2 linked regions of the Kluyveromyces lactis genome follow. The protein of the gene in region 1 purifies or fractionates together with the protein of each later gene. This does not show direct contact. Links are inferred from orthologs where the notes say so. Each region holds a gene or a part of one and is shown on either strand. Other genes may lie near its edges. The genes, in order: PDP3 and NTO1.

Region 1 (3,022 bases):
CTTCCAGGAATTTCAAGGATCACGATGATATCGCCGAAACGGTTGCTGCACAAAGAAAGGCGAAAAAGGCAGTTCCGCCTCCACCAAAGAAAAGAAATTCTAGCAAGGACTCTAGCAAGGACTCTAGCAAGGCTTCTACCGCCAAGTACAACATCATCGACACTGATCCAGTGGACGAATTCTCCGAGGTTTTCCAAAAAATTAGATTGTCTCAGGGTACCACCGACGAAGAGTCCAAATGCAACGGTAAAAAGAACGGTAAAGTTGCACCAAAGAAACCTGCAAAAAAATCTGAACTTAGAAACCCTAAAGTGAGATCATCAAGACCTTCGTTACCATCTGATGACGATGCTTACAACAGCAATGATGATGACGATGACGAATATGACGAACAAAACGAATTTTTCGCTGTAAGAAAATCGCTACGTAAGACCCACACAGCACCATCTCGTCGTGATATCACTCCAGAAGCAGTTAAAGCCAAGTCTAAACTGAACAAACCTCCTTCTTCTATCAGTTCTGTAGAAGAAATACCTGAAGCGATGGCAAAGAGGCAAGCTCTTTTGAGATCCTCAACGGAATCGGAAATTGAAAAGAAATCCTCTTCATCATTAAAGAGCCTACAAAAGCATGGCTCAAAGTTCCAAAAGCAACTGATTAAAACAATCAACAGTAGTCAGGCCTCTCTATCGGCATTGGCGTCGTCAACTGCATCATCTGCAAACTCATCATCTGACGCATTGAATGCGAAGACAAAGAAAATGCTAACAAAGGTACGTTCTAAGGGTCCAAAACGTAAGCTCCCAACAGACGTCACTAAATTGTAAATACCTCCTTATTCATATTAACTCGAACCACAAACTAGTTGCACAATCCGGCAAAAACGCATTCGTCAACTGCTAATGTGCGTTCATTGATCTTGTAAAGTTACCCTTCTAAATACGTATGCCTTTAATTCCTAATTACTTATTCCATTTTCCGACCTTAAAGCTTTTTTTTTATCCAAAACAAAACAATCAATTATTTCAAATTATATTCAATATATGCTTCTTGAGCAGTTGATATGGAATTTTGATTGCCGAAGTTCCCATTCATATTTCGTCCAAACAGTCTTTCACTGGTCAGAACACACGCAGCTATTACTGTGGTGTTGTGTGTGAGAAAAGTGATTACTGGTAGCTTAAGAGTTTTGTTTTCGTTTTCATCTCAGTTCATTTAGGGAAGGAGGTCAAGTTAATTCTGTTATACGGCCTCTTCTTTCCTTTGCTATTTGTGTTGCCAGTGCGAAGTTAGAGCGTAAGATTTTAAAGCTTCTATTCTAGCGTTTAGCATTCTTTCTGTCGAAACCGTTATTTGTGTTTACCTATTGAGTGCTCAAGAAACTGAGAAAGAGAGATATCAGAGTTTACTATTTGATCTTTACGCCCTGACATTTAGGGTTTTAGTTTCCTTTCCATTATACTTACAGATTTTACCAATCCGAATACACAATCTATTTAAGCAAAATATGACAGACGGGCTTTTAGTTACTGGTGACCTGGTTCTTTGCACCGTGGGCAGTTACGAACCATGGCCAGCTGTAGTTGTTCCTCAACGGATATTGAGTAAGAGTGTGCTGAAGGCGAAGGAGAACGTTGGTCAAGTTGCTGTGGCATTTTTTAACGATTCTACCTATTATTGGACTAAACCAAAACAGTTAAAACTTCTTACTGAGGAAAATATAGAAGCGTGGATAAAATCGCCGCCCAAAAGGTCTTCGAAAGAGTTGAAGAAAGCTTACCAGTTTGCATCCGACTATACGAGTTTGCAAGAGTTTGTCGAAGACAGGTTGACAGCGGAGGGAAGAGCGGATGATTTGGAAACTATCGCTGAAGTTAAGATGGGAGAGGACCCATTACTTTCCAATATTGAGTTAAAACTGGAAGACACTAAATCTACGGATAAAAGACGGGGCAGAAGAAGAAATGAAAGCGAATCAGAGGATTCTACCTCCAATAATAACAGTAACGGAAGTACCAAAGCTAAAAAGTCGCCCAGTAGTGGAAACAAAAATAGAGACTCACCGGTATCTACACCTGTCGCAACATCTGTTTCAGATTTCAAGAAGAAGAGGGAAAGCTCATCAGAATCTCTCTCGACATCTCCTTCATTCGTACCAGAAGAACCTCCCAAGAAACGCAGTAAGCTTGACTACTCACGTAGGGTAGAGATTGCTCAAATATTCCGTAACAAATTACAGAAGTGTTTGGTTCAACGAGATACCCCACCAACAGATGCAGATCTTGCCGAGTCTGATAAACTCATGAGGAAAATCCTATCACATACTAAATCAACACCGGAATTCTTTGATTTAGAAGCCCTTAGGGTATCCAAATTGCATAAACTATTAAAAGTCATTTCTAGTATGCCTGAATTATCACAGTTTCACGAATCTTGTAACACTATATTGGAAGTGTGGGCACCTCATGTTCAAAAGATCAAAAAGGAAAAACTGAAACTGAAGGGTTCGCTATCCCCATAGAGTGGATCACAACTGTCACTTTTAATATCTTCGATTCATAATAAGAGCACAAAAGAACCGTTCAAAAGGAAAGCACAAACAATGCATTACTGCTTTATAACAAATTCAATTCAATTCTGACATTATTCTCATGTAAAATCTATCACATTAACCTACATAATCTCATCCCTACCACCTCTCCAGTTACCTCACCGTACCTATTCCTTCTTTTCTTGGACCCTTCAATCATAATGTATCATTATTTACGTTTATCGCTCTGTTCCCCATCAATTGTTATTATTAACAAAATTGCCAAAACCTTTAAAATGACTTTAAGGTAGCAAAATTGTGCACTTCATTACAAACATCAGACATCTTTCCCATAAGCTAGCACATTAGGGAACCGATATTTTAATTATATTTCCTGTAAATTTTTATTGTTTATCAAATACGCCAAGTATTACTTCAATAACTTTCAAGTTGTTATGTCCACTACCGTTGATTTGCCAGAGCATTTAGTAT
Region 2 (4,370 bases), on another chromosome or scaffold:
ATAGTTCGCTGGTGCTTTGCTCGTACTCGTAGATCGAACGGCTCGTATGCATCGTCCGTATCCAAAATATTAAATAACCGTACAACACCGCTTTTCTCACCGACACCTACTATACCTTCATCTGTATTAGAGTAATCTAGACATGTTATATTTCCAAAGTCCTTTACTGTATTCACCTTAACGATGGACTCGTCTGTCTCCACATCCAGCTTCACTCGGTAATGAGAAACTTCATCTCTTGTAGGATTAACAGACAAAAAATCCAACCCTTCCACATTTGGCCAACAAGGAACGCGTTTAATCAAGCCCATGAAGTAATACTGGTGGATTGGCCTCGACAGATGCTTTACTACATTGAATACCGTAATATTATTTGATGCATCTTATCACTCATTCTGAAGTTATCTTGAAATAATTTACCGTATATAGTTTTATTACCCGGATATATGTACATAGGAACAGGAGAGTTAAGTACTGAGTGAACGAAAACTTGATGGATAATTCAGTCACGTAGTAGTCCTTTCAATTGTCTTTCCTGTTTGATCGATAAATCTTCAACATCAGCTAGTCCTTCGCGTGCAAGTATTTTCCGGCCCTTCCAATTAACCTCTTCTACTTGATGTGTTCTCTCATCTATATCGAAATCGTCATGTAATAAAGTATGTACATCTAACTCATCAATCTTAGATAAAAGTTTGTTAAGATCGTTGATGAGCTTAGATCCCATTATTACCAGTGATCTCGGTGACCTCTCATTGGATGTTATTTTCACTATATTTCCAACAAATTCATCCTTGAATTCTTGGACAGATAAGTATTCATCATTTTCAAGCCTGGAGCTAATGTAAGGTATGACCTTGAAATTTGAAGATGATTCGAGGTCTGCAAAAGATTTAAAAGATAAAGTCTTTGTGAGATTGTTCCACACAACATCCTTCAATATATACCTTATCGGATGGAACGCAATGTCGTTTATGATCCTTTGGTTTCTTACCCTTTCAACATTACATTCTTGTTTAGCCACCAAAGATGATGCAAGACCTTCCAATGAATTGAGGTCTCTCAAAAGAACTTCTGAGAATACGATTCTGTCATTTAGCTCTTCGGTATCTAGAGTATTCAAAGAAGATGGGCTGAACTTTCTTACCAAAGGAGCGCCTCTTTTGAGTTCTCTTTTCATTGTCCAGTACTTGCATATATCCAACGAAATTTGCTCGGAATTTGGAACATGAAATCTGTTTAAAACTCTCATTGTAATATCTGCGAAGGCTTGAGGTGCAATTAAAGTTCCCCTACTGGTTTTCCATTTATTCTTAATGGTTTTCTTGGCAGATTGCTTGTTTTCTTCCACGGCACTGTCTTGTAGCACCTTGTGATGATTAATGTGATTAAAATAATCCCTAGTTTTACGAATTCCGTCTTCACAGCTACTCCAGCCGTTAGGAGAATGTTTGTGACAAAAACTTTCCAGGAAAGCACCTGTGGAAAAGTTTTTTGAGGCAGCCTCTTGAACTGTACATCCATTGAAGTTCATGTATAATCCAGCTCTTTTAGCGCACGTAGTGTGATACGCTGCAAAACAGTTCTTATTCGAGCATTGGATGCAAGCACCGACCTCTTGTTTGCAAATATAACATGTGAGCTTCCATCGACTTTTCGGGATATTCTCTATTCCTCCAATCGGCTCCATATAGTGTAGATTTCCGAAATAAAGCTCTGGTATCCAAATTCCACATAACACATGGCCCCACGATCCGTTATCCGTTTGTTTGAAAGCTCCAGTGGTACTGGGACAAAAGAGACACTCGAGCTTTCTATTTTTGGATATCATGCATCTTCGGCAAAGCCACTGACCTTCTGGAATGAAAACTACACCATAGCATTCCTGATGTACGGCGATATCGCAACCATCGCAAAATACTATCGCATTCGAATTATCACATTCTATGCCTCCACATACTGCACACGGTTGATCCATTGGGTATCCAGTACCGTCGTCTGATCCGTATAACTCATGATGCTTCCAGGCAGCATGAGATTCATGCGTATTATTAGTAGCACTAGGTGATACTCTTGGTGGAATTTTCTTCTCTAAATGGAAAGCTTCGTTCTCTAATATCGTAATAACTATTTCGAAAACTTCGTGTGATAACTTATGCTTAGAATTTGTCAGTGCCGTATTTAAGTGCCGAAGGAATAAGTCATCTTGCTCATCCATATCATACTCTACCTTAAAATTAACCTGGTATGGCGAAACATCAGCAAAAAACTCATTGCTATGCTTCATCAATAGATCAGTCTTCTTACAGTATGACTTTTGATCTAATCCGCAAGTACGATCTGCATGAGATCTGTATCCGTATTTTACCAACTGTTTATTAACCTTGCCATGAGGATTTAGCTGTGATATCCGAATCTTACAGCGCTTGAACTCTGCGTTCTTGATTTGAGGTCCTAGCATTTCGATTGTTATGCTATCGTTTACGATCAATTGTTTCCATGACTTCAAATGTTCTCGCAAATTATCGTCAGGATACACTTCTTCTTCATCGTGGCGATGACGATCATTCAACTCATCATGATTATTTTTCCCAAAAAGGACAAGGTCATTTACGTCTAAATCCGGATAGAAATGCTTAAAACTAACTTCTTCTCGAAGCCTAACGCCGTCCTCTTGAGTTTGCATTAGTTTATCCCAACTATATTACAGCCTATCGTATCCAAAATGAGCTTCTTCGGTGAAAAGAGGCATGTCATCACATCTAATTGGATCGTTTTCAACATATAGGCCGATTCATTTATCTTTTTTCTTTGTTATGGTTTTCGGAGTATATATCACGTGATATGATTGAATGTTAATTTGACTTAAGAACTGACTCTGCAAGCGTCCGTAGATATGATCGACACTCATTGAACAATATTAGGGTTAGCATCTTTGAAAAGTTGATCAAGGCGTCTAGTTATCCTTTTATATTACTGCTTTTTCTTTCATTTGTAACGGTTTTATGACATTTTGTGATTAAAAGTGATGTGCCAAGCAACAATTAATAAGAAGCATGAATTTGCATATTATAAAAACACATTATCGTTACATAGCGCATTGTAGAACTAAGGAACATATATATATATATATATATATATATATGTATATTAACTACTTTAAGTGGTATACATTTGTATATTCTTGTAATTAGATTCGAAAAAACCCAAGGAAGATCATCCCCTACTCTTCGAAATCAAGTAATAAATCAACAGGATTTTCGGCACGTCCGCTGAACATTAATTTGCTGTTGTCTTCGTTCTCCATTAATGTACCAGACAAAAATTGTTGAAGATCATCATGTATCGCGTTTGCTCCCGCGTTTGTCTCCTTGACAAGCATCGGATATGTTCTACTGTCAATAATCCTTTCTGGATATTGCTCATCATCGTTAATATATTCATTGTTGATGTGAGCTTGTTGTTGTTGTTGTTGTTGTTGTTGTTGTTGTTGTTGTTGTTGTTGTTGTTGTTGTTGTTGTTGGTGTCGCTGCTGTTGGTATTGTTCTGAGGAGATATGATGAGTAATGGGGGATTCAGATTTGGAAATATGTTGGTAATTTTGAGAAGTTTTCGGGTATGCTCCTGATTGCAACAGAGAAGAATTTGTGAGATCCGACTTTTTTCTTTCGAGTTCAGCGATCTTCTTCCTTAGTTCTTCCTTTTTTGCATCTTGAATCTCTAAAACTTGCTTTAAGCAATCCATATATTCAATTGTTCTTTTCAATATAGTTCCTTTATTTGGTTTTACCTTCTTTCCAAAATCATCGAAATGTAACAATGTTGGTGGAACCAATGTCCCCAACTCCTTTATTTTAGCTTTGATCAGCTCTCTTCTACGCCTTTCGACGGCATTATGAAATTCTCTTCTCCTACGTATTTTCTCATCTTGAGTCAAAGCCGATGAGTTCATGTCTTTAGGCGTGGAAGTCAAACTGCTACTTGTTGGAAACTGTTGCGAACCCCTGTTACTTCTCAATGACGATGAGAGTTGCGAAGCACCACGATAACTGGCAGAAGGAGACCTTAAACTTGAAGACAGTTGGTTGTAAGAGTGGGAATCAAACGAATTCATTGGTTGTGGCTGGTACGATGAAACTGGTGTCATCAGGTCACTATGGATACTGGACCCCAGAGATGATACGAAATCATCTGTAAAGTTGCTAACCAAGTCATCTGTGGCTTGGGAGCCTTGCAAATGTTCGCGAAACATTGGCTCATCGAAAAGGTTCTTGGTGGTCTCGTCCAAATTAATATGATCAAAATCTTGCTTTTGGTTCCGGTCTGACTCTCCTCTACTTGCTGGTGATAGGTATTCGTCCATAAATGAT

What was found.
Region 2: the proteins of PDP3 (region 1) and NTO1 purify together in Saccharomyces cerevisiae (affinity purification with mass spectrometry; 3 studies listed by BioGRID, with this or other methods). This does not show direct contact. The link is inferred for Kluyveromyces lactis from reciprocal best matches to the Saccharomyces cerevisiae genes PDP3 and NTO1.

Annotation. Positions count from the first base shown.
Region 1 is NC_006038.1:945,608-948,629, forward strand, and holds PDP3 (Pdp3p), read left to right. Parts: upstream 1-1,507; coding exon 1,508-2,521; downstream 2,522-3,022. Other genes in the region: BSP1 (Bsp1p), read left to right, coding at 1-827; KLLA0_B10824g (pyridoxal 5'-phosphate synthase), read left to right, coding at 2,986-3,022. UniProt on the Saccharomyces cerevisiae protein: Histone-binding component of the NuA3b histone acetyltransferase complex. Targets the NuA3b HAT complex via histone H3K36me3 to the coding regions of actively transcribed genes to coordinate transcription elongation.
Region 2 is NC_006041.1:584,522-588,891, forward strand, and holds NTO1 (Nto1p), read right to left. Parts: upstream 2,687-4,370; coding exon 503-2,686; downstream 1-502. Other genes in the region: SEA4 (Sea4p), read right to left, coding at 1-311; RTG3 (Rtg3p), read right to left, coding at 3,224-4,370.